Linked DNA regions of Sus scrofa. The protein of the gene in region 1 interacts with the protein of each later gene in a biochemical or structural test. Links are inferred from orthologs where the notes say so. Each region holds a gene or a part of one and is shown in the gene's direction. Other genes may lie near its edges.

Region 1 (3,500 bases):
GAGGTTTCAGGTTGGATCCCTGGCCTCGCTCAGTGGGTTAAGTATCTGGCGTTGCCATGAGCCATGGTGTAGGTCACAGACGCAGCTCAGATCCCAAGTTGCTGTGGCTCTGGTGTAGGTTGGCAGCTACAGCTCCGACTGGACCCCTAGCCTGGGAACCTCCATATGCTGCAGGTGTGGCACTAGAAAAGACAAAAAAAAAAAAAAAAGAAGAAGAAGAAGGGACCCTTCAAGAGAACTTGGAATAACCTGTACTGCATTCTCCATGAGACAGGAGAAGGGACTCTCAAGGCTCCTTTAAATCCAATTTTCCATCTTATAGAGAAATGTGTTTGCTGCTCAGTAATATCAATAAATAATTTTTTAAAAGCCATGAGTCACATCTGAGAGGAAGTGCTATCACTTTATTAAGGCTCTAATCCCATCCTAAAGAATGACCATTTGCCTTGGAAATGAAGTCTCAAGAACTTTGTAAACTACCCATAAACACAACTTGAACTTAAAGAAACATGCAAATTTAATAAATGATCATTAACATTCTAACTAAATTCTGATAGCATGTTTTTCAGGATAGTTTTGTTACCCTTTTTTGCAATGATATTCCTAAATGGGGTTTTTATCTTTATTTTATGCAGGCTGTTTTAATGATGGATTCAGAAAAACGAATAAGGTTACTTCAGTTTGTCACTGGTACATCCCGCGTGCCTATGAATGGATTTGCTGAACTGTATGGTGAGAATGGTCCATAGATTATTACAAATGGAGCTTATGACAGTTGTCTTTTTCATGGCTAAATAGTCTCCTTCATTTTACTGTGATAGCCTCTATCATTTATATCGACACTTAGCATAATAGAAAAAAAATTAAGGTCTTTAAATGATATAATTAGATACACTGAAGAAGGCCAAAATATACATACACCTTCTAATCAGACAGCAAAGAAGAAAACTGGAAACATGAAATGACTTTGAGTTTCTTTCCATGCTTGAATTTTATTTAATTTATTTATTTATTTTGCTTTTTAGGGCTGCACCCACAGCATATGGAGGTTCCCAGGCTAGGGGTCCATTTGGAGTTGCAGCTGCTGGCCTGTGCCACAGCCACAATGATGCAGGACCCAAGCCACGTCTGCAACCTACACCACAGCTCACAGCAACACCAGATCCTTAACCCACTGAGCGAGGCCAGGGATTGAAGTCCCAACCTCATGGTTCCTAGTCAGATTCATTTCCACTGCGCCATGACGGGAACTCCCCATGCTTGAATTTTAAATTTGATTCCCCCTTTGCATCCAGTACAGATTGCCTGTAGAGTGATGGTTTAGGGCAGGCAGCATGTAAAGTTCCACAGGGTGTTAATCAGTGTACAACTAAAAACTGCTAGCATTCGGAGTTCCCATCATGGCTCAGTGATTAAAGGACCTGACTAGTATCCATGGACGAGGGTTTGATCCCACAGCTGCAGCTCCAATTCGACCCCTATTTGGAGGAGATAATGGACTAGACAAAGTTAAATAGGTTTCTTTGGTTTGTTCTTGCTCAGAATACTTACTGTGAAAGTTTCCAGAAGTTAATTGATCGTGGAATCTGTGTTTGAGGGTGGTGGTAGTAGTTGGAGGGTGGAGAATCTCATTAAGGCCTTGTTTTGTTAAAAACAAAAAAAGCACTGTTTCTGATGTAGATCACAGCAACTTTTCTCAGACCAGTTAATATTCTGTTTATTGGAAGGACATTTGCCTGGCTTTAAAGATACCAAAAAAAACCAAACAAACCTTTCCAAGAACTTTTAGCCAAGATCGGAGCCGCACTGTCTCCTCCTTGGCAAATCTGGTTTTTCTGTTAAGCTTCATTTATATTTGTTTGCAGAATCTGTCAAGCAGCTGCCACTTCACCTAGAGTAACCACTCCTGGTGAAAAGGATGAGACAGGAGCTTTGCTCCTCACCAGTGCACCTTTTCCCTGCCTGGTAGGATTTGTCTTTGCAGTGGTTTCAGCTGACTCCCCATGCTTTCTCTTCTATGCTCTAGCCAGTTAGTAGAGAAAATGAAGGCAGGATCAACACCCCTTTCACCTCTAACTCCACTGCCCTCTTTTATGCAGCCCAGGCCCACCACTATCAGCTGATTTCCTGAATTTTTTGCAAATTAGAGTACATAGCCCACACATAGATCCAGAGTTATTAGTGTTAGAATATAAATTCACATGATTATGTATTTACAAAAAAAGAAGTTGCTTCAGAATGTTAGCATTACATTACAGTATTTTCTAGCCAACACAAAGTATCTTGGGTTTGTATTGGTTGACCTACAGGGAGTGTTCCAAGTGGATGGTTTAGGTGAGAGAAATGAGAGGCAAGGAAATATATACAATTCCATGTTATTGAAAACACAGTGATAAAAGTACTGACATTTTAACTGTGAACATAATTATGATGGGTGATGTGTGAAGAGCGGTGCTTTTAGAGAAAACAGTAACATGGAAAACATTAAGTATTTTTAGTGCTGCTTCTGACAGTTATACACACACACACATACTTGGATATGATTCTAAGACATGGAGACAAGTACAGAAGGGGCCTCAGGAGGTGGTCAGCATTGATGACCTGGATGGTTAGAGGATGTTGAAAACTGGAGATGGAAGAGCTTAGTGAAAACTCCAAAGAAAAAAAAAAAGTTTCTAAGCATGTCCATAATGAGGAGTTCCTGCTGTGGTGTAACGGGATTAGCGGCATCTCTAGCACCAGGACGCAGGTTCAATCCCCCTTCCAGCACAGTGGGTTAAAGGATCCAGTGTTACCGCAGCTGTGGAGCTGGTCGCACCTGCAGCTTGGATCTGATTCCCTGGCCCTGGAACTTCATATGCCTCGGGGGAGCCCAAAAAGAAAGTGAAAAAAAAAAAAAAAAAAGAACATCCATAATAGGAGAAAAATGTAGCATGTATAACGTGATTATGCAATTAAAATTCTGTATCTCTGCACGTGCACAAAAAAATTAATAACAGACTATTTACTCAGATTTAATAGTGGAATTTCAGGTGATTTTTTTACATCTTTCATTATTTTTCTCTGTTGCTTTAATTTTTTTGCAGTGAAATCATATAATCAGAAAAAATTAAAGCTATATTCAGTGGGACTCAAAAAAGAAAGAAAATGCTCATTATCTGTGTACCTGTGACAGAGGTGGTATATGGAAATGCAAGGCTAGAAAACAGCAAAACCTCCATCAGACACGCCCCCAGGGGCAGAGTGATGCGGTGGTCACAAAAAAACTGATGGAAAAGGAGTTTTCGTGGCTGGACACTAAAGTTGTCAGGCCCAGGACAGCATTACTTGTTTTGAGTTTAAAGAAGCTAGACGAGGTCTCTGTGTGTTTAAGTTCTATACGAGCAAAAGTGAGTTGTGAAATGCCCAGGAGTTTCTGCTAAGAGTAAATGAAACCAAAGCAACTCTTCTTCTTCTTTATAGGCTCAAATGGACCACAGTCATTTACAGTTGAACAGTGG
Region 2 (2,224 bases), on another chromosome or scaffold:
CATACTCTAGTAAATACCATACTTGTGGTAAACCATTAGAAGCATTTCCTTCAAGCTTAGGAATAAAATAAGAATGCTTCCCAGTACTGCTACTATTTACCGTATTAGCATTATTAGCCAATGCAGTATGGCAAAAAAAAGAAATGAGAACTATAAACACTAGAAAAAAAGAAATAAATAAAACTTATGAACAAAACAAATAATAAAAATATGATTATTTGCAGATATAATTGTCTATCCAAAAAATAATTTTTTTAACCCATGATACAAACTGTTTGATTTGAGAAGAGTTTAGGAAATTGGAATAGATTCAGTATAATAAAACCTAACTTTTTTCTAAACATCAGCAGGGATACATTAGAAAATGTAATGAAAAAGAAGTATAGAATACTAGAAAGGAAACAAGTAAAAATAAAGAATACTGGAAAGTATTTAAGAAGAAATCTAAAAAGACCTCCATGAAGAAAAAACATTAAAAATTTAAAAGTAATCTAAGCTCACCATTTAAAAGTTCAAATAAGGAAAGTATAAAGAAGAAAGTGAAATCTACCTGCATCCTCACCTGTCGAAAGAGAAGCCTCTGTTAAAACTTGGTCTATCCTTCCAAAAGTATAACAGAATTTGAAAACTATGTCTCATCTCTTTGAAAAATGCATATGCTATGTTAAGCAAAAAGAAGACAAAGTTTATTTTAAAAGTGTGTTGATCCTGCTGTTTAGCACTGGGAACTCTATCTAGTCACTTACGATGGAGCATGATAATGTGAGAAAAAAGAATGTATATGTGTATGTGTGACTAGGTCACCTTGCTGTACAGTAGAAAATTGACACAACACTGTAAACCAGCTAGAATTGAAAAAATTAAAATCATTATAAAAAAAATGAAAGTGTGTTGAAAGTTGTGGTAAGAAAATAAGATTATAAAACATAGACTCATCAGGAAGGAGCAGAAGTTAAAAATGAGATTTCTGAGTGAGTAGAAATAATGCCAGCAGAAGAATCTGCAATCTGGGAAGTGATTGCCATGCCACCACGTTCTGTCATCTGGTCACACAGATTTAGTCCTACGGGAAAAGAATGGTCTTGGAAAAAGCTCTGATAGTCTTGGGTTTTATTCCTTTTTTCTTATATGCAGTTCTTGCCAACTCTCTGCTTACCTCCCCTGCCCCCATCCTATTTTAGAACCAAAACAAAACCAACAAAAAGTCATTGGCCAGAGAATTTTATACCTAAACCTCCTGTTCTGTCTTCCATTTCTGCTCCCCCAGACCGCCCAGGTTTGCTGAATGTGAAGCCCATCGAGGACATTCAAGACAATTTGCTGCAAGCCTTGGAGCTGCAGCTCAAGTTGAACCACCCAGAGTCCTCCCAGCTCTTTGCTAAGCTGCTCCAGAAAATGACAGACCTCAGACAGATTGTGACAGAGCACGTGCAGCTGCTGCAAGTAATAAAGAAGACAGAGACGGACATGAGCCTTCACCCACTCCTACAGGAAATATACAAGGACTTGTACTAGCAAAGAAGTCCACGTTCACCGACAACATTCTCCTTCTTCCAATTGCACTATTATTTTGGGGGAAAAAAAATCTGACACCTAAAAAAAATTACTGTGAAAAAGCGTTTGAAAAAGAAAAGGTTTTAGAATAATAGATCTATTTTATGCATATTGTTTATAAAGATACATTTACAATTTACTTTTAATATTAAAAATTACCACATCATGAACTTGCTGGATGTCTTTGAAGACTGAGTCTGTTGTGTCTCCCATCACCACTCCCCAGGTATTTTTTTCCTTTTATCTCCTCCCTCTTCCTTCCTTTATTTTTCCTTTTTTCTTTCTTACAGTGTGAAACAATGTGAATGGGATTGCTGATCAATTTCCATTTTCAGTCAAGTTTTTTACTCCATTTACAATGTTTCTGAACCTTGTAACTGTTTTAAAAATCACAACTAAGCGAGGAATTTCAGGACTGAAAACTACTCAGAGCATGTGTTTCTTAACCTGGATGGACTAATGTTGACCATGTCCCTAGGCTTACCAAGAATTCAGTCTTCTTCCCCAGCCCCAATCAAGATTTTCACTCACCAACAGCAGCCCTCTAACAGGACACCAAGGCACAGACAGATACCCACTGGAGGGTATTAACTGCTAGATGCTGTAACACAAGTGGTATAAGATGTGGCACCTGCCAAAAAGAACTTATTATTGAATTGAGGGGGGAAAA
Region 3 (3,500 bases), on another chromosome or scaffold:
GTATATTACATCTGCAACTTATAAAACATGTTTTGATGCCTAAGAGAAATCAAAGGAAAATAAGGACCCAAGAAGTATACCCCACAGGCCTGAATTACTGATCACGTGGTAAAAGCCACCCCAAGGGACATGTTCTTATCTGGTATTTGTACAATCTTAGATCGTATATTAAGTTTTTCTCCTTACTTACTCCTTAATGTTTTTAAGATGTTTTCATATCATACTAAGAATTCTTTTCTTCCTTTTTTTTTTGTTTTTGTTTTTGTTTTTGCTTTTTCTTTTTAAGGCCTCACCTGTGGCATATGGAGGTTCCCAGGCTAGGGGTCCAAGCAGAGCTGCAGCCTCCGGCCTACGCCACAGCCATAGCAATGCAGGATCCGAGCCACATCTGCGACCTACACCACAGCTCACAGCAATGCCAGATCTTTAACCCACTGAGGCCAGGGATCGAACCTGCAACCTCATGGTTCCTAGTTGGATTCGTTTCCACTGTGCCATGATGAGAACTCCTCATACTAAGAATTCTTTACTCCAGGATCACTTTGCAATCTTTTACCAAAGGAATTTTTACATTTTTTCCCCCCAAGTACACATCTTTCTTTTTAATAGCCACACCTCTGACACATGGAGGTTCCCAGGCTAAGGGTCGAAATGGAGCTGCAGCTGCCGGCCTACGCCACAGCCACAGCCCCCTGAGATCCGAGCTGCATCTGTGACCCACCCTGCAGCTTTCAGCAATGCCGGATCCTTAACCCACTAAGCAAGGCCAGGGATCAGACTCGCATCCTCATGGATACTATGTTGGGTTCTTAACCCACTGAGCCAAAATGGCAACTCCAACCAAGTATACAACTTTTTCTCCTTTCTTATTTTTTTAAATATGCCTTTCAGTAATCTCAGCACGATAAACGTGTCCAAGGATATTTTCTGCACTCAGATTGCCTTCACTGAATTTGTTTCTCTTGTCTCCTTACAAAATTCCTTTTTCTTTTTGTTGGGTAACAGAGGCTCTCCATTAACATATGCTGTTGGTCAGAAGGTGAGGGAAAGGCAGACATGACAAGTATGCTGAAATATCCAGTTGTCCACACCTTCCTTGTAGATCTAACTAGACTGTATTGGAATGCTAATCGACCATCCCGTTAGAGTATTGGGTCTTGCTGAGTTCAGCAGACACTGCCCTTTGCATTGGGAGGAGAGAGTAAGAGCAGCTGAAGGTAAAGACACTTTATAAAATAGTGACTGGTCCAAAACACTTGGACTGTTTTAATCGTCAGTCCTGGCAGAGACATTACTTTGATGCTGGGGATACTGGTTCTTTGTGCCTTCAAATGTACACACACATAATTGTTAATAAAAGTAAGTTAATAAAATATAATGGAGCTGGGGAAGGACTGAGGGAAAGAGCTGTCTCAGGGCCTTGAAAATTAAAGCTCTGTTATTTCAACAGGAAAGAAGAATAAGCTACGTGTTTACTATCTTTCATGGTTAAGAAACAGAATACTCCACAATGACCCAGAAGTCGAAAAGAAACAAGGCTGGATCACGGTTGGGGACTTGGAAGGCTGTATACATTACAAAGTTGGTAAGTCTCAAGACATGGAACTGTTCACTCAATCCAGATTATTTGGTTAAGTTTCATTTGTTTTGTTTTGTTTTTTTCTGTCAGATATTGTTGATGCATTTGTGACTGGTTTAAGGCACTCTAGAACCTTAAGTATACTTGTATTATTTCAAAAAAAGTCAGACTGATGAAGTTCAAAGAGTGCTTTCAGAATAAAGTCCTGAGCCCCAGCTTGAACTTCTTCTCAGAGACCCATTAAAATGACAGTGAAGGAATAAAAGGGCCAGAAGAGAAACCAAGCAAGAGATGTCAGCACAATTGGACAAGAGTAGTTAGCTAACTAGAAATAGACCCAGCTGACCAAGAAATGCTGAATTCTAAGTCTGCAGTGAGGAAAGTCATCAAAATCAATCCAGTCACTCAACAAAACCCAGAGAAGCTGAGGACCTGAGGCTCCCGAGGTATCAGAGGTGGAGATGGAGGGTGGGACTGAAGAAGGGAAGATAGCTGGAAAGTTGATGAACAGCAAACCCTCCAGAACTCAGGCGGCCACCTCCCCTGACTGCAACAAAAGATGAAAGGCTGGCACAGCCAGTCTGGGGGTGAGGAGTCCTGAATTATGAGGTTACACACACACACACACACACACACACACACATCCTTTCTTCCCTTGTTTAGGTCCCAAAATAGCCATACTTATACTCCCAAGCAAGAGATTGAAAGATTGTCTTTTGAGAAACTAAACAGCCAGAAAGAAAATATGTTCAGATAGTAATATTTGAAATGCCATGATAAAAGCACCTGACCACCTTAAATGGAAGCCTAGTAATCATAAGCCCACCTATATCAGACAGCAGGGAAATCTACTAATAGAAAGGAAACTTAAACAAAAAGTATGTGTTGCTGTTTTCTTGTGATTCTTTTTTCATTCTCTGAATGAAAGGATAATAAGGAGGGGAACAAAGTTTTTTAGAAAGAAACTTTAAGAGTTTAGAAATACCATTTCCTTAAAAGAAGAATAGGGGTTATTTTATTTTATTTTATTCATTTTATTTTTGTGTGTCTTTTTAAGGACGCACCCATGGCATATGGAAGTTCCCAAGCTAGGAATCAAATCAGAGCTGTAGCTGCCAGCCTACACCACAGCCACAGCAATGCCAGATCTGAGCTATGTCTGCGACCTACACCACAGCTCACAGCAACGCCAGATCCTTAACCCACCGAGCGAGGCCAGGGATCGAACCCACATTCTCATGGATACTAGTCGGATTTGTTACCACTGAGCCACAACAGGAACTCCAAGAATAGGAGTTATTTAAAAAAAAAGGGGGGGGGGGATGGAGCAGAGTTGGAGGAGGTCATTCAGAGACTAGGAAAAAATCTTGGAAATTAAAATACATTGGCAGGAATAAAAAATGAAATAGAACGGTTGGAAGATAATGATGAGAGATGTCCTAGAGAATAGAATGAAAAGAAACAGGAGAGAAAAGGTAAGAAAATAAAAGATCCAGTCCAAATGGTTCAAAATCTAAGTTATGGGAATTTTTGCAAAAAGGGAAATTAAGAAATGAGAGGGGAAGAAAGTATCAAAGAAAGAGAATTAAGAAGTTTCTACAACTAAAATCTCAAAATCTCAAATTAAAATATTCAAAGAAAATGAAAAAAGACTCACAAGAAAATAGCAACACATAGTTCAGTACCCAGGAAAGGAGAACATTCTTAAATCTTCCAAATTATAAATAAATAGATAAACAGTTTACAATTACATATGGAAGCCCCAGAATTAGGTGGCCTAGCACTCAGCAGCAACACTAGAGGATTAGAAGACAAAGGATCCTCCAGTATTCTAAAAGAAAAATTATTTTCACTCAGTGTTTTATAATCCATCTGTATTAGTCAGGGTTCTTCAGAGAAGCATAACCTCTAGGGTGTGGGT
Region 4 (3,984 bases), on another chromosome or scaffold:
TTACTTTATGACTCTTAAAAAAGTTGGAGTTTCATGTTGAGGACTAGAAGAGGTTTAGGTGGGTGGTAAGAATGCTTGTTTTCCTGGTTAGTTGGATATGCCACTGGCTTTATGTCTTCTGTTGTCCGGTGGTAAATGAAGCCACACTGTTGCTATGGAAAAGGATGGCAGTTTGGGATAATTTAGAGTGGCCCAGGGAAATCTGGGCAGTTGCTTAGTGTACCACACCTAGTATATGTTACACTACACATATCTCTTCAGTTTCCTGCAACTGAAATGACAAATAAGTGAGAAACTGAATTGTAATTTGATGGCTTAACTAAAAAAAATTAATCTTGGTAAACACGATAAATAAAGAAGAGTTCCGAAGAATTAGAGGGATTATTATTAAAATCTTATGATTTGAATAGCATTTATATTGTCGCTGAAGAAGCTGCAGCCGTCCTCAAAACTTTTAATATAATTTCCGACAGCAAAAATTCTAAATCCAGTCTAATTCAGTAGTAGAGGGTTTATTCCCATTGATTTCTCACATTAGAAAGCCTCTTAGACGTTGGTTGGTTTTACCTGTCACGAAATCCACTGTATCACTTTTATAAAACACTTCTTTCTATAAAAAGTGACTGGAAGAATCGAAAATTGTAAAATTGCACGTGCCTGAGCAGAAAACTCCAATCTTGGGATTTTCTCACAGGCGTGCCTAAACCGACCTCTGCTCCTAGCAGGTAAATTGCCAGAGGGGGAAGCCAGGGTCAGCCCAAAGGAAACCCTGTTGTGGGATTTCTTTCTTTCTCCCTTAAACTGATCACTTTTTAGGAGGAGTTCCCTCGGTATTCACTAGTCCAAAGTCCTGGCACCAGATTACCATCTTTTTTACCAAACTGCCCCCGCTTTCCCAAAGCCCTTTTGGTAAGAACTTCCCCTCGCGGTCGCCCTATTCCCGACAGTTCCCAGCGCCCCCAGTCTCGGGACGGCTTCCCCTCTTCAGCCCAGGATCCAGGGGTCCCCCAGACTCCTCCGGAGAAAATTCACAGCCCTTGCCCCCTGGCCCCGCGTCCCGACGAGGCGCCGGGGTGGGGGTGGGGCGGGGAGGGGCCGGGCTTCCCGGGGTCCCCGGGTGCTCCTGGCGCCCCCCGGAGGTGTGCCCGGGGAGGGGAGCGCGGGTGGGTGGGACCGGCCGGACGGGGTGGGGGAGGGGGAGGAGGAGTGTGTGTGCGAGCGTGTGTGGCTGGGGGAAGCCATTGCCTGTTTAATAGTTGCTGTTGCTGCACTTCCGCTTCTCTCCCAGCGAGAGAGACACGAGTGGCCAGGCCCAGCCGCAGCCGCAGCAGCAGCCGCCGCGGCGGCACGGAGCAGCCAGACACAAAGAGAGGTACGGGGATCCCCCCCGCCGCCTGCCGCCCCCCGGCCGCGCCGCCGGGCTTCGGGGACACCCCTCGCCGCCGCCCCCGACCCGCGCCGCCCGGGCCGCCGGGCACGGGGCCGGGGGCGCGGAGAGGGGCTAGGGAGCTCCGGGGGTCCGGGCCCGCCCGCGGGGGATGGGCAGGGCCCCGGGCCGCGTGGGGTGCGGGGCCGCCCGCGTCGGGGGCGGGGGGCACAGGGCTCGAACTGTCAGCGCTGCCCCGGGAGCCCCCCGCTGGCCGCCGAGGGGCCGGGAACGGGGGAGGGGAGGCGGGGAGCCCCGTTTTCCCCTGGGGCGGGGGCCCGTGGGGATTAACCCCTCCGGGGCGCACGGGCTCATTGTTATTCCTCAGCAGAGGAGGCCGAGTCCCCCCCTCACCCCCGCCCCCACCCGGGGTGCCGATCGGGCGTGTGCCTGGGACCCCCGCCCGGGCCGCGCAGACCCGACCCGCACGGTCCGGGGGCTGGCTGGCAAGGGGCGTCGGGGCGCGGCGGGGGCCTCGGGCCTCGTCGCTCCTACCCCCCTCCGGCCTCTCCCTTCCCCCACGCGGGCCCCCGCTGCCCGCCTCCGTCCCCCCGTTTCGGCTTCCTCTCTTACTCCTCTCCGCCCTCCTCTCCTCCTGACCTCGCCAAACTCGGCGGCTGGCCCCCAGCTCCCCTACGACCCCCGGAAAGCCGCCGAAAACAGCCCGAGGCCGGCTGGCCGCCGGGACCTTCCCTGCCCGCCCCGGCCGGGCGCCCCGCACCCCCGCCCGCCGGCTGCTCCTCTCCCCGCCCGGAGGGGAGCCCCGGGGGGCGAGGGAGGGGCTGCTCTCTGCCCTCCCAACCGTTTTCCCACCACGTCCCCCACATGGGGCCCCGAATAAACAAACAAGCCGCGTCCAATTTGCAAAAGCCATGATGGGCCCGAAGACTTTGAAAAGCGAGTGGAGGGCGGTGGGCGGCTGGGTGCACCCCCGGCCGAAGCCCTCCTGACAGCGCCCGAGTTCCTTATTTACACTGGCTGCATGGTTTGTGTTTCTGTTTTGTTTCCCTCCCCCTGCAGGGGCTGTTTGCGGGGTGGGGTGGGGGGTTCGCTATGTCGGATGACGATTCGAGGGCCAGCACCAGCTCCTCCTCATCTTCGTCCTCCAACCAGCAAACCGAGAAAGAAACAAACACCCCCAAGAAGAAGGAGAGTAAAGTCAGCATGAGCAAAAACTCCAAACTCCTCTCCACCAGCGCCAAGAGGTACGGTACCCCCTCCCCACCCCCACCCCCAGCAGGCTTCCTATTTCCCAAACTGCCTCTTGCTGCATTTGGTCTGCCTCCATGAGGGTAGCTTAACCGCTCCTCATGGTTTATATGTTCTTAAAGAGGAGAAAAGGGGCCTTGGAGGCCCTAATTGTTTTTCTCGGTGCCTTCTTCTGTTTTTTCTTTTAATCACTGTCCACATGCAGCTGTTGTGGCTTGCCTCTCCCATATCTTGCTGAAGTTTGTAAGAATTTTCATTACTATTATTAGTGACCACCGAATCTGATTTCACATTACTTGTCCTGTTAATCACTAATCTGTGACCCTTCTCAAGGCTGTCATCCCACTTCTTACTAATACCTACCCAGACAGTTCTATCACAATGAATTCTATTACCGTCTTACTTCTCACCTGTTGCACTTATGAACTGTTTTGAATAGAGCTTTCTCCACAGATTGCATGAGGAATAAATAACTCATTTTGGCAGAGTAAAAACTCTAATGGGTAGAGATAGATGTTTTCGGATGGAATTTAAAGAGATTTTTTAGATTTAGAGAGTTGAGGCAAGTGAATGAATCAATAGGTGATGTAAAATGGCTATTCTAGGCTATTTTGGGGATTCTTGTTGTTCTCTTTGAGAACCTCAATTTACCAAATTTCAGGGAAACTCAAATTTTTTTCATGGTATTTCATTGTTGATTTTTAAGTTGAATTCAAGCAGTGGTTCTTTTTCTTTGCTCTCTTCCTCTTATGTCTCTGGAAGAAGCTACTTTTTAACCTCCATTATCCTTCAGTAGTGTCCTCTGATTCCCATGACCCTTAAAGTATCTATAGTAGATTCCTGGGAACCCCTATAGTTTATAAATCCTGCTGTCGGTTGTAGAGTCATTAAACTTTAAGGTGGCAAACCAGAAAGACAGTAAGGAATCCAAATGGTGGGTTAGCTGGAGATACCTTTCTTTTTTTCTTTTTACTGTTCTTTCTTTTTTTTTTTTTAGGGCCCCACCCTTGGCATATGGAGGTTCCTAGGCTAGGGGTCCATTCACCATAGCCACAGGAAGGAGGGAACGGAGCGGGTCCTTAATGAACTGAAGGAGGCCAGGGATTAGACCTGTGTCCTCATGGATGCTAGTCAGATATGATTCCGCTGAGCCCCTGAGGGGAACGCCGAGATACCTTTATTAAAACAATGTAAAGTAAAAGGGAACTTGATGCTTTAAATCTCTTCACTGAGTAGTGTGCCAAATAGAGTTTGAAAGTTTGTCCTGTTACTCTCCCTGACTTGAAATTTGGTAGGTTGGTACGGTGTTTTGGTGACCTCACCCTAGGAGGATGAAGGGATGACTTGCG
Region 5 (4,196 bases), on another chromosome or scaffold:
TCAGTTTATCACCTCCACTCTCAGGCTCGGTTCCTATCTCTGTCTCACGTTTACATCCCAGCCCAGGCCTCTCTCCTGTGCTAAAGAGTTATGTCTAGCTGTCCCTTGACTCCACCTGGAAGCCCACAGCACCTCTAAGTCCCCTTGTCCATAGCAGCCTCTTCCTCTGTGCATCCCAGGTGCATAAAACAGAGAGTTGGCAAGCACCTTGACCCCTCCTCTCCCTCACCCACCAAACCCAGGCCAACAGCAGGTTGATTTTCTCCAAAAACAATCCCAGAATCCATCTTCTTTCCAGGTTCCAGGTTGATTTTCTCCAAAAACAATCCCAGAATCCATCTTCTTTCCAGGCTCCAACCTGGTGAAAACCACTGTCATCTCTCACCTTGACCACTGCAGCCTCCTCCAGCTTGTCTGCCTGCATCACTCTGATTCCTCTGTGATTCATTCTCCGTAAAAGCCAGGGTACAAGTCCGAACCTGTCCCCCTCCTGCCTACAGCACTCCAAGGGCTTCCACTGCTCCCAGAACAAAGACAAAACAAGGTTGCCTTGACCCATGACTCTTGACTTACCTGCAGCCTGGCCCTGCCCCTCTGGCATCAGCTCCTACCCCACTGTTCCTTGCACTCTGTGTATGCAAAGGTCTTCTCCCTCTGGCCTTCAAACAAGCTCTCCCCCTCCACCTGGTCAATGCCTGCAACCACTCCCTTCCCTGGAAACTTCCCCTGACTGCCCCCCAGGTAGGATTCTGCTCTCTTGCACTTGACCGTGCCATTTTATGCCTGTTTGTGGGATGATCTGACTAGTGTCTGTCGTCTGCATTTGACTCCAGCTTTATGAGGGCAGGAACCAATACCATGGAGACACTACTCCATGACAGAATAACTGCCTATACTGAATCATTCTGGGGCAGAACTTGTTTGGTGTAATTCACAACCTCCTTTTGGAAGAAATGATGGTTCGGGAAAATGCTCAGGCAATTTTCTGGTCCACTTCGATAAGAATTAGCTGTCTTCTTGGAAGCCAACTGTAGCATTTAGGGACTAGACATTTCTCGCATAAAGATTGAATAAAAACTTTGAAACGCGTATATAACGAAGTTTTCTGAAGAGTGTGTCTTTGTTAAAAAAATAGAAGTATATGTAGTGCTTATTTGCGAGAAATTGGAATTCCAAGGCTTCCAAATATTCGGCGCTGGAATTTTTCACAATTAGCGGAAACGACACGCCCTTTAGTCTCACCACCGCAGCGCCCCCTGGCACCCACGACCCACAAGGCATGAACAGAGCGGGGCGGGGCGAGGAATACGAACCCAAAGGGTCCCGGTGACGTCAGTAAGGAGCGCCGGCCGGTCTTCGGAAACACGCGGCTCTCCGATTGGTCAGCAGTTTCAGGCGCCTGCGCAGCTGGCGCGCCCCACCTCCGCCGGTGTCGCCTCTGCGCCGCCGGGGCGGTGCTGGGATAGTGATGGAGACGCCTGGGCCGCCGGCCCGGACCCTGATGCTTCCTGCCGCGTCCCGGCCTCGGAGGAAGCGCGCAGCCGGGGAGGCCGGGCCTGCAACAAGCAGGCAGCGGGTGCTGGACGAGGAGGAGTACATCGAGGTAGGACTCGGCGCGGACGACAGTGACGTCTGGGCCCGTCCCGCGTTCCCCCTGTCCCGCGACACTCTCGTCTCCTCGCGGCGGTGGAGCAGTCCGAGCCTCTGCTGTCGAGCGTGGACGGTCTGAGAGCCAAACAAACAGCGTGTAGAGCGAGGTGTCCCTGCTGTCAGGGGGCAGTGGGGGTTGAGTGTGTCTGTACGAGGTTGCGGGTGGGCGTCAGAGAAACAAGTTTTTATTAAACGGTCATTAGGAATTTAGGAGGATGGTGACAGAACTTCCTGGAGGGCGATAATAACAAGTGCTAAGGCTGAGGGTTCTAGAAACGGTGGCATCGTGGCATCGCTGCGTCGGTGGGCCTCCCACCTTTGAAGTAGGCCTTGATCCTGCCGAAAACAACGCAGGAGAAGCTGGCACAGGGTTTGGAGGAAGTCAGTTAAGTGTAGGGGAGTCCTCTGCAATGCGGAGGCAGGTGGCTTTAGGGAACACCTGGATGCACGGACTTATAGCTCAGGATCAAGTCTGTCTGGAGCTGCAGAGGTGGGAATCTCAACCAGTGCTGGTGGTGGGGTGACTGGCTGAAGTCATCCTGGTAAAGGGTTCAGATCAGAATAGAGGGTGTGGGAGTTCCCGACCTGGCTCAGAAGTTAACAAATCTGACTAGCATCCTCATGCAGGTTCTATCCCCGGCCTTGCTTAGTGGTTTAAGGATCTGGTGTTGCTGTGAGCTGTGGTGTAGGTTGCAGATGAGGCTCAGATCCTGTGTTGCTGTGGTGCAGGCCAGCAGCTACAGCTCCCATTGGACCCCCGGCTGGGAACCTCCACATGCCCATGGGTTCAGCCCTAAAAAACAAAACAAACAAACAAAAAAGGAAGTAGTGGTTTTGGTGGAATGAAGGTGGCAACACGCACATTGATCAGGCTGATGTGGAGGTGGAGTTAAGAAAGGAGAGCGAAGGAGTTCCCGTCGTGGCGCAGTGGTTAACGAATCCGACTAGGAATCATGAGGTTGCGGGTTCGATCCCTGCCCTTGCTCAGTGGGTTAACGATCCGGCGTTGCCTTGAGCTGTGATGTAGGTTGCAGACGTGGCTCGGGTCCTGAATTGCTGTGGCTCTGGCGTAGGCTGGCAGCTACAGCTCCGATTCGACCCCTAGCCTGGGAACCTCCATATGCCTTGGGAGCGGCCCAAGAAATAGCAAAAAGACAAAAAAAAAAAAAAAAAAAAAAAAAAAAAAAAAAGAAAGGAGAGCAAGAATGATGGGTTAGAGAGTTTCCCTTGTCGTGAAGCAGAAACGAATCCCACTAGTATCCATGATGATGTAGATTTGAGCCCTGGTCTTGCTCAGGGGGTCGAGGGTCTGGTGTTGCTGTGAGTTGTGGTGTAGGTTGCAGACTTGGCTTGGATCCTGTGTTGCTGTGCCTGAGGCATAGGCCAGCAGCTGTAGCTCCGATTCGACCCCTAGCCTGGGAACTTCTGTGTGCCTCAGGTGCGGCACTAAAAAGCAAACAAATAAATAAACAAGAATGATAGGTTAGTGAGGGAGAGAGAAAGCTTTAAAAGTGTCCCCAAGCTTTGGGGATCATTGGGCTGGACAGAACTTGGGAGCCTCAGTATGCACTTTAAGGGCTGAAAGGCAGATGGAACCTCTGACTTGTGTTCTGATCACTCCTTCAGGGCCTCCAGACGGTCATCCAGAGGGATTTCTTCCCTGACGTGGAGAAGCTGCAGGCGCAGAAGGAGTACTTGGAGGCAGAGGAGAATGGAGACTTGGAGCGCATGCGCCAGATCGCCATCAAGTTTGGCTCTGCCCTGGGCAAGATGTCTAGAGAGCCTCCACCGCCCTGTAAGAGGACTCCCTTGGGGGCGGGGAGGGGACTCCCACTGAACTGTTGCCTCAGGGCCCCTTTCTTTATTCCCACCCCGACTTTCCCCAGATGTGACTCCAGCCACGTTTGAAACCCCTGAGGTGCACACAGGCAGTGGAGTGGTAGGCAGTAAGGCCCGGGGCCGGGGCCGCGGCCTGGAGGATGGCACTGGTGAGTGTGTGTTCTTTTTTTTTTTTTGTCTTTTTGCTATTTCTTGGGCCGCTCCCTCGGCATATGGAGGTTCCCAGGCTAGCGGTCCAATCGGAGCTGTAGCTGCCAGCCTACACCAGAGCCACAGCAACGTGCAATCCAAGCTGCATCTGCGACCCACACCACAGCTCATGGCAATGCTGGATTGTTAACCCACTGAGCAAGGGCAGGGATCGAACCTGCAACCTCATGGTTCCTAGTTGGATTCGTTAACCACTGCGCCACGATGGGAACTCCATGTGTGTTCTTTTTGCTTGGGGCCTTCACCTTGGGGGCCCAGTGGTGTCCACAGGCAGACCACACCTTGTCCTTGAGGGTCTCTTTGCCTTAGTGGCACCCATAGGGTTTGGGAGCTACGGTCTAGGAAGCAGAAGATCTGGGTCCCGCTCCAAAAGTAGGGAATCCTCTGAGCCTCTGCCCCACCTCCACTCCCCACCACGAATGGGAACCTTGAGTTCCCTCTTGGTGGCCTTCTCACTGTGTCAGCCCTGTTGGTGGGCTTATGGGCCTTGGAGGGCT
Region 6 (3,500 bases), on another chromosome or scaffold:
TTTGCCATTTCTTGGGCCACTCTCGCGGCATATGGAGGTTCCCAGGCTAGGGGTTGAATCGGAGCTGTAGCCGCTGGCCTACACCACAGCCACAGCAACATGGGATCCGAGCCTCGTCTGTGACCTACACCACAGCCCACGGCAACGCCGGATCCTTAACCCACTGAGCAAGGTCAGGGATTGAACCCGCAACCTCATGATTCCTAGTCGGATTCGTTAACCACCGTGCCAGGACGGGAACTCCCCTGTGTCGTATTTATTTCTATAATGGGTTGTGGTAGATAAACTTGCTCACTTCAGAGTATCAGGTAAATCCCTTCCTGTCCTCTGCATCTTGTCTTGCAGGTGTGAGCGGCACCTCTTCACCACGGTGGCGTTTGGTCCCTACCTCAGCCCGGGTGAGGATGTAAACCCCCCCGCTCTGCACATGTGTGGTACAGGCCAACAGGAACACCTGGCTCCAGCCACGGGCACGGACATGTCAGCCGTGGAGTAGTGTGGACGCTCTCTCTCTGCTTCTCAGGGTTTCAGTCCTTTCGGGTTTGTGTCATTGACCTGTTTTTTATGGTTTTGTGGCTGGACGTTCACGACCAAGGCAGGCACCATGGGGGATCAGCAACTGTACAAGACCAACCACGTGGCCCATGGTGGTGAGAACCTTTTCTACCAACAGCCACCTCTTGGCGTCCACGGCGGGCTGAACCACAGCTATGGGAATACGGTCCCTGGCGCTGCCATGGATGCTCCTCAGGCATCACCCATCTCCCCCCACTTCCCTCAAGATCCTCGGGACGGTCTAGGCTTGCCTGTTGGCTCCAAAAACCTTGGCCAAGTGGATACCTCAAGGCAGGGAGGGTGGGGAGGGCCCGCAGGGCCTGGAAACCACGTCCAGCTACGCAGCAACCTGACCAACTCAAACATGATGTGGGGGGCACCAGCCCAGGCGGAGCCCGCCGATGGCTTCCAGTACACCTACTCCCAGGCCAGCGAGATCCGGACCCAGAAGCTCACCAGCGGTGTCCTGCACAAGCTAGACTCTTTCACCCAGGTGTTTGCCAACCAAAACCTGCGGATTCAGGTCAACAATATGGCCCAGGTGCTGCACACCCAGTCGTCAGTGATGGACGGAGCCCCGGACAGTGCCCTCCGCCAGTTGCTGTCCCAGAAGCCCATGGAACCCCCAGCACCGGCCGTCCCCTCCCGCTACCAGCAGGTGCCCCAGCAGCCTCACCCTGGTTTCACAGGTGGGCTGTCCAAACCAGCTCTTCAGGTTGGGCAGCACCCAAGCCAAGGGCACCTGTATTATGACTACCAGCAGCCCCTGGCACAGATGCCAGTGCAAGGAGGACAGTCCCTGCAGGCCCCCCAGATGCTGTCCCCGCACATGCAGCAGATACAGCAGCACCAGTATTACCCGCAGCAGCAGCCCCAGCCGCAGCAGCAGCAAACTGGGCAGCAGCGTATGTCGATGCAAGAAATGCAGCCGCCCCTGCAGCCGCTTCGCCCGTCACAGCCCCAGCAGCAACAGCAGCAGCAACAGCAGCAGCTGCAGCAGCGGCAGGCTTCGATGCAGATACCTCAGTATTTTCAGTCCCAACCCGTGATGCAGCATTTGCAAGAGCCGCAGCAGCCACAGATGCACTTGCAGCCCCCTTCTTACCACAGGGACCCCCACCAGTACACCCCGGAGCAGGCGCACGCTGTCCAGCTGATTCAGCTGGGCTCCATGCCCCAGTACTACTACCAGGAGCCTCAGCAGCCCTACGGCCACCCTCTGTACCAGCAGAGCCACCTGCCCCAGCACCAGCAGCATGAGGACAGTCAGCCCAAGACTTATCCAAGTGACCGGCAGGCCCAGGCCATGCTGAGCTCCCACGGGGACCTGGGGCCTCCAGATACAGGAATGGGAGACCCGGCAAGCTCGGACCTGAACCGGGTCAGCAGTGCCCTCCCGCACCGGCCGCTCCTGTCCCCCAGTGGCATCCACCTCAACAACATGGGGCCTCAGCACCAGCAGTTGTCTCCCAGTGCCATGTGGCCCCAGGTACTCCCACCGTGGATGTTGCCCTTGGTATCGGGGTGTGCTCCTGGGCCAGCCAGCTGAGTCTGTGCAGTGCCAGGTCCTCCCTCCCAACCCCTGCAGCACTTCCGTTCTTGCCTTATTCCACAAACATTGACCAGACGCTGTCTACGCCAAGCCATTGGAATTCAGAGTCCATTTTGACTCAGGGCTTCACCCCTAGAGCTTAGAATCTCACTAAGGAGAGGGCCAAAATACCATAGCAGGTCCCGAACGATGCATGTCATGGTCAAGGTCTGATCAGGTGCTCGGGGACCAGGACCAGCTAATAACGGTGTCTAGCCCCCTTAGAACTATATCCTTAGGGAATGTCCTGGGCACCTGTTCCCCCTTTGCGAGGGAGACCTCGTCATGACAGCATTTCTCAAAGGACGTTGCTCCAAATAAGAGTTCCATAGAGGAGTTCCCTTCGTGACTCAGCAGTTAACGAACCCGACTAGGATCCATGAGGATGCGGGTTCCATCGTTGGCCTCGGCTCAGTGGGTTAAGGATCCAGCATTGCCATGAGCCTTGGTGTAGGTCAGATCTGGGGTTGCTGTGGCTGTGGTGTAGGCTGGCAGCTACAACTCCAATTTGATCCCTAGCCTGGGAACTTATCCTATGCTGCAGGTGTGGCTCTAAAAAGCAAAAAAAAAAAAGAGTTCATAGAATGTTTAGTGGATATTGCTGGGGAAGAGGAATGGGTTCTCTGGATGGAGGGTTTCTTAAAGTAAAAGAGGGTGCTGTGTTGCTGGGCTTCTCAGGGTCTTTAACATGCTCATGTGCACCGTGAGCATCCCCAAGGGGAGACCTCATATAGTTGCAGAGATGAAAAACCTTCGCTGCCCTCAGGATCCAGGCAGGTGAAGTCAATAAGCCACACGGCCTGGTAGGAGATGATAAGGTCTGCAGTAGATAGGAGACCCGATGCCCCATCTCATGATGCTCCTAGTCAGGATATTTAAAAACAGTCTAGCCAGGCAAACCGTGTCTGTAGGCCAGATTCAGCTTGCAGGTGACCCTTGCTAACCCTTGATTGTTCCCCAGATGTATTTGGTCACAAAACCACCCTGCGGTGTGCTGGGCACCATTCATGCCTTGGCGTGTTGCAGGTGCTACACTCATGTGACAACAGGGTCTGGGGGTGGGGGAGGTCACCTTGAATAGGACCAGGATAGAGAGGAGGGGGGCTGTGAGGAGGGGTGAAGGCCAGAGATGAACTCCCCATGACCTTGTTGTGTTTAGGACTTGGGCCAGTGGTAACGGAGAGCCTTTGTGATTATGAAAATAAGAGGACAGGGCTGGGAAGGAATTCCAGCAGGAAGTCGCCCAGCTTGATGCTGTCTCTCAAGGGAATGGAGCCTGTCTGTGCACAGAGTGGGTGGACGGGAGAGCAGGAAGGAAGGAGGTGGGGAATGAGTCCTAGCGGGCTTGTGGCCG
Region 7 (3,893 bases), on another chromosome or scaffold:
GAGACAGGACTGGCCAGAGTGAGCGAAAGACACTCGGTAATCCGGGAGGCTCAAAGAGAAGCCAAGCCAGCTTTGTTGTGATTTGATTTTTTAAAAACTCTTGTACAAAACTGATCTAATTCTTCACTCCAAGGGCTGGGCTGTGGGTGGGAAACTGGGATTTTGGGCCACTGGATTTTCCCCAAACTTGTCCCTTCCCTTCCTTTTCCATCTTCCCTTCTTCCTAGAGTCCCTCAGACCTGTAACGAGCTTTCTCTTTTTTTCTTTCGTCTACTTAAACCATGCATTATAACTTTGAAACCAAAGCTGCCCTAGGTCCTTCTCTGGGTTTGGGGGAAATGAAGGGGCTTTGTTCACACCCACCCTGGCTCTGGGCAGAGGGTAAGGAGCAAGCTGTTGACCTGAGGGGAGGGTGTTGGCCACCCTGGCGGGGAGGGTCTTAGTGGCAGGATGATACCCTGGCCGGGAGCGAAAGAACAGCCCTGTGTCCAGAGGGAATGTGAGCTTCCGAACAGTAACACAGAAAAGTTTGAAAGGAAAAGAGAACTGGACGCTGGGAGAGGCCTGGCTTCGTCTGCGGGCCTGACTTAGACTAGCTGAGCGGGCGCAGCCCCCCGGGGGCGGAGGGGGGGGTGTCCCAGGCCCCTGGCGCCCCACCTCCCTCCCCTTGGCCCTGCTCCCCCAGCCGCAGCCGGCTCTACTTCCTCGCACTCGCCACGTGACGCCCCGCCCTTCTCTGCGATCACATGATCTCTCCGTGAGCCGCGAAGACTGTGTTCCTCCGCGCTGACGTAGTCCCTACCTTTCAGACCTCTCCAGTCCCTATTCGTCCACTCATTCCTGGAACCTAAGCATTCTGGAAACATAAGCGTCTTTCCAAACATAGGTCTCGTTTCTGCCCTCCTCTGTTTCCAAAGACCGCTTGCTCCATTGGGGTACTACTTTGTTTTGGTGTCAACCGCCGCCTTCAGCGTACCAGCACCTTTCCTGAATAGCTGTCCTTGTAATTATCTGCTTTTTTACCTCTGTTACTTCTGAAAAGCACTTTCGGAGAACCAAGTCTCAAATTATGATTACCATCTCCAAGCCCTTTTCATCCTGTGGAAAAAGTCAGGAAATGGGTTTTCAGTTATTTTCTATGATAGCAAAAAGCCAGCCACCTTTCCTACGTCGCCTGCGTAGCCCGTAAATTGATTCCAAAGCGATTACGCTGATTGCGTGAGGGGGGAGGTCAGTAGGTGGCGCTACGCTAGTGGCGTTGGGGCCACTGAGCTAGGAGCGTAACATAGCGAGTGGGGCGGCCTCTGACGGCCGGGGGCGGGGTTGGTGAATAGGGAAGTGGCGCAAGGTCCGGGATCGCTCCGCTGAATCCGCCCGCGCGTCGCCGCCGTCGCCGCCGCCCCCCATCCCGGCCCCCCCGGGTTCCCTCAGCCCAGCCCGGTCCAACCCGGTTCCCGGGAGGATGAAGTTCGTGTATAAAGAAGAGCATCCGTTCGAGAAGCGTCGCTCTGAGGGCGAGAAGATCCGAAAGAAATACCCGGACCGGGTGCCGGTGAGGACAGTAGCCAGGGCCGAGGGCGCGGGGCGCTGGCGCTGACGCCACAGCCTGGGCTTGAGTCCGAGACCCGCAGCGCGGGCATCAGGCTGCCAGCTGTGGCAGGGTTGGGAATGAGCCCGAAACTGCTGTCTGTGGGACTGGAGGTGAAAGGAGTGGGGTAGCATTAGAACTGGGGGGCTAGGGGATGTAGGCTTAAGGGGATGTAGGCGCGAGAGCTAGACCTTGGATTCGTGTAGGGCGTTTGACATTCCGAGCTTCACAGGGGGTGCTTGAGATTGAAGCTCTAGTCGGCCCAGACAAGACATGCCTGTTTGATTAAAATCATTGTTTGTTATGACGTCCTATTCAGGGATTCTGGAGGTTTAGGTGAGTTTGAGTCAGTGGGATCAGAATCCCTGCTCAGGACTGCGCCGCGTGTTCAGAGACAAAGAGAAATGAGTCTGGGGTAGGTAGGGATGCTAGGAATGTTGAGTTCTTGACAGGTGGAGCTGTGGGCCTGTATACCTAATGTCTCCTAATTTTCGTCTCTTTATCAGGTGATAGTAGAAAAGGCTCCCAAAGCTCGGATAGGAGACCTAGATAAAAAGAAATACCTGGTGCCTTCTGATCTCACAGGTGAGAACCTGACCCAGTAGCCAGGTTTGCTTCCTGGGGGGTGGGAATGTGGTCTCTGCTGGAGGAGGCTCCACATAGCAGCTGTTCTTTTGAAGGCGTTTGTGACCTCAGACTTTCTCAGACCTTGTTTCTTTGGCAGTTGGTCAGTTCTACTTCTTGATCCGGAAGCGAATTCATCTCCGAGCTGAGGATGCCTTGTTTTTCTTTGTCAACAATGTCATTCCACCCACCAGTGCCACGATGGGTCAGCTGTACCAGGTATAGTGTCTGGGAAGTAGTGGAGGCTTTGGAGAGGAGTTGGAAGCACTTGAGAGGCAGGAAGTTTTAAGTCAGCAGGTCTTGGACTAGTTGGCTTACTTAGCTCTCAGTTTTAAATTTGGCTTTAAAATCTCCTTATAGTTCTGGGTTGGGGATTTAGACAGGGCAGTGGGAGTAGAGAGAAAAGAGAACAGTGAGTTGGAGCAACTGTTGTGATCTGGACTTTCCCCAGGCCCCTCCCCATTTCGAGGCAGCAGAGAACAATGTGTGATTTTTATGCCTAGGACTGCTGCTAGGATAATACTGCTCAGCCGCTAGGGTCTGGAGCAAGTGAGAGGGAGAGTCAAAGCACTGGTTTTGGGGGTCTTCAAAAAGAATGTTTTTGGAAGAATGTGCCTGGGTGGTGGTTGGTTCAAGTAATTAAAGCCCAGGTGCCTGAGCACTGTCATTTTCTGCTTTCACCCCAGGAACACCATGAAGAAGACTTCTTTCTGTACATTGCCTACAGTGATGAAAGTGTCTATGGTCTGTGAAGCTGCTGCCCTTAAGGTCGGGGGTCCCATTCTTCAGACAGAGAGAGGTGGCCCACCTTCCTCGACCTGTCCTTCCTTGAGGCTCAAACACCACCTCCTTTCTTCAGGACCTACACTTCCTAATGTTTGAGACTCTCCTCCAGCCCTTCTTAAAACAAGGGTTAATGGGGGAGATGGCCTCCAGTACTCCTTTCCTTCCCTTTCTCTACCACCTTCCCACTCAGCTTTAGACTTCTTGATTGTCCATCTCTGTCACATCCAGTGGTCGTTTTGGTTTCTGTTTCCTTTCTAACTGCCCAGGGGGCTCAGGATCCCAACAATCCCTTATTTTCACTACCTTCTTTTTGGGGGGTAGATGGAAGGGACTGAATTGTGGCGGGGAAGGTAGGATACACATCAATAAAGAGGAAACCACCAAGCTGAACTGGATTTTGCTTTGTGTTGCTGCCCTCTGCCTTTTGTTCTCTACTCAATGGGGGAAAGGGAGGTTGGAGGGATAGTAATGTATTTTTATTTCTTCTCCTTATGTTGGGCTTTTCCTTGTGCAGAGAAAGTGTGCTTTTGTTGTGATGGATGGAATACTCTGAGTATCATTTCATGAAAGTTGTGTTATGTACCCGTGTATAGATAGGGGCTTGAGGTTAAAAAAAGTTGGTTTTCTACTGTGGGTTCCAGTGGAGAAAGTTTGAAAGTACCTGCTTTGGATATCCCATCCAAGTTTGTCATAACCTTTTGAATCAAGGAAGGGTTTTTTCCAAGTGTGGAGCTGGTAAAAGAACTCTGTCCTCAGGTATATGTCCCTTAGCCAGACTCTGTGCCGGCGTGCGGGTTCCAGTAGAGTGGAATACAAGTTAGGGAGAAGACTGGGAGGAGGGAGCCATTATTACCACGAGAACTTCATCTCCCAGCAGCCAAGTCTCCGTGTAGCC

The links.
Region 2: of the proteins of NEDD4 (region 1) and PPARG, one has a biochemical effect on the other in vitro, tested with the Homo sapiens proteins (2 studies listed by BioGRID). The link is inferred for Sus scrofa from reciprocal best matches to the Homo sapiens genes NEDD4 and PPARG.
Region 3: the proteins of NEDD4 (region 1) and TNIK form a complex in vitro, tested with the Homo sapiens proteins (2 studies listed by BioGRID). The link is inferred for Sus scrofa from reciprocal best matches to the Homo sapiens genes NEDD4 and TNIK.
Region 4: the proteins of NEDD4 (region 1) and ubiquitin-conjugating enzyme E2 E1 form a complex in vitro, tested with the Homo sapiens proteins (7 studies listed by BioGRID, with this or other methods). The link is inferred for Sus scrofa from reciprocal best matches to the Homo sapiens genes NEDD4 and UBE2E1.
Region 5: the proteins of NEDD4 (region 1) and DGCR14 interact in a test that uses a peptide from one of them, tested with the Homo sapiens proteins (2 studies listed by BioGRID and IntAct, with this or other methods). The link is inferred for Sus scrofa from reciprocal best matches to the Homo sapiens genes NEDD4 and ESS2.
Region 6: the proteins of NEDD4 (region 1) and TRERF1 interact in a test that uses a peptide from one of them, tested with the Homo sapiens proteins (2 studies listed by BioGRID and IntAct, with this or other methods). The link is inferred for Sus scrofa from reciprocal best matches to the Homo sapiens genes NEDD4 and TRERF1.
Region 7: the proteins of NEDD4 (region 1) and GABARAP form a complex in vitro, tested with the Homo sapiens proteins (2 studies listed by BioGRID and IntAct). The link is inferred for Sus scrofa from reciprocal best matches to the Homo sapiens genes NEDD4 and GABARAP.

What each region holds. Positions count from the first base shown.
Region 1 is NC_010443.5:116,063,207-116,066,706, forward strand, and holds part of NEDD4 (E3 ubiquitin-protein ligase NEDD4), read left to right. Parts: intron 1-635; coding exon 636-732; intron 733-3,462; coding exon 3,463-3,500. UniProt on the Homo sapiens protein: E3 ubiquitin-protein ligase which accepts ubiquitin from an E2 ubiquitin-conjugating enzyme in the form of a thioester and then directly transfers the ubiquitin to targeted substrates. Specifically ubiquitinates 'Lys-63' in target proteins.
Region 2 is NC_010455.5:68,432,224-68,434,447, forward strand, and holds the end of PPARG (peroxisome proliferator-activated receptor gamma), read left to right. Parts: intron 1-1,267; coding exon 1,268-1,515; 3' UTR 1,516-1,724; downstream 1,725-2,224. UniProt on the Homo sapiens protein: Nuclear receptor that binds peroxisome proliferators such as hypolipidemic drugs and fatty acids.
Region 3 is NC_010455.5:109,657,346-109,660,845, reverse strand, and holds part of TNIK (TRAF2 and NCK-interacting protein kinase), read left to right. Parts: intron 1-1,450; coding exon 1,451-1,585; intron 1,586-3,500. UniProt on the Homo sapiens protein: Serine/threonine kinase that acts as an essential activator of the Wnt signaling pathway. Recruited to promoters of Wnt target genes and required to activate their expression. May act by phosphorylating TCF4/TCF7L2.
Region 4 is NC_010455.5:10,604,653-10,608,636, forward strand, and holds the start of ubiquitin-conjugating enzyme E2 E1, read left to right. Parts: upstream 1-1,184; 5' UTR 1,185-1,372; intron 1,373-2,446; 5' UTR 2,447-2,479; coding exon 2,480-2,631; intron 2,632-3,984. UniProt on the Homo sapiens protein: Accepts ubiquitin from the E1 complex and catalyzes its covalent attachment to other proteins. Catalyzes the covalent attachment of ISG15 to other proteins. Mediates the selective degradation of short-lived and abnormal proteins.
Region 5 is NC_010456.5:50,953,219-50,957,414, reverse strand, and holds the start of DGCR14 (protein DGCR14), read left to right. Parts: upstream 1-1,396; 5' UTR 1,397-1,468; coding exon 1,469-1,603; intron 1,604-3,276; coding exon 3,277-3,445; intron 3,446-3,536; coding exon 3,537-3,638; intron 3,639-4,196. UniProt on the Homo sapiens protein: May be involved in pre-mRNA splicing.
Region 6 is NC_010449.5:37,377,300-37,380,799, reverse strand, and holds part of TRERF1 (transcriptional-regulating factor 1), read left to right. Parts: intron 1-345; 5' UTR 346-604; coding exon 605-2,044; intron 2,045-3,500.
Region 7 is NC_010454.4:52,595,630-52,599,522, reverse strand, and holds GABARAP (gamma-aminobutyric acid receptor-associated protein), read left to right. Parts: upstream 1-1,356; 5' UTR 1,357-1,462; coding exon 1,463-1,552; intron 1,553-2,094; coding exon 2,095-2,173; intron 2,174-2,312; coding exon 2,313-2,431; intron 2,432-2,898; coding exon 2,899-2,964; 3' UTR 2,965-3,393; downstream 3,394-3,893. UniProt on the Homo sapiens protein: Ubiquitin-like modifier that plays a role in intracellular transport of GABA(A) receptors and its interaction with the cytoskeleton.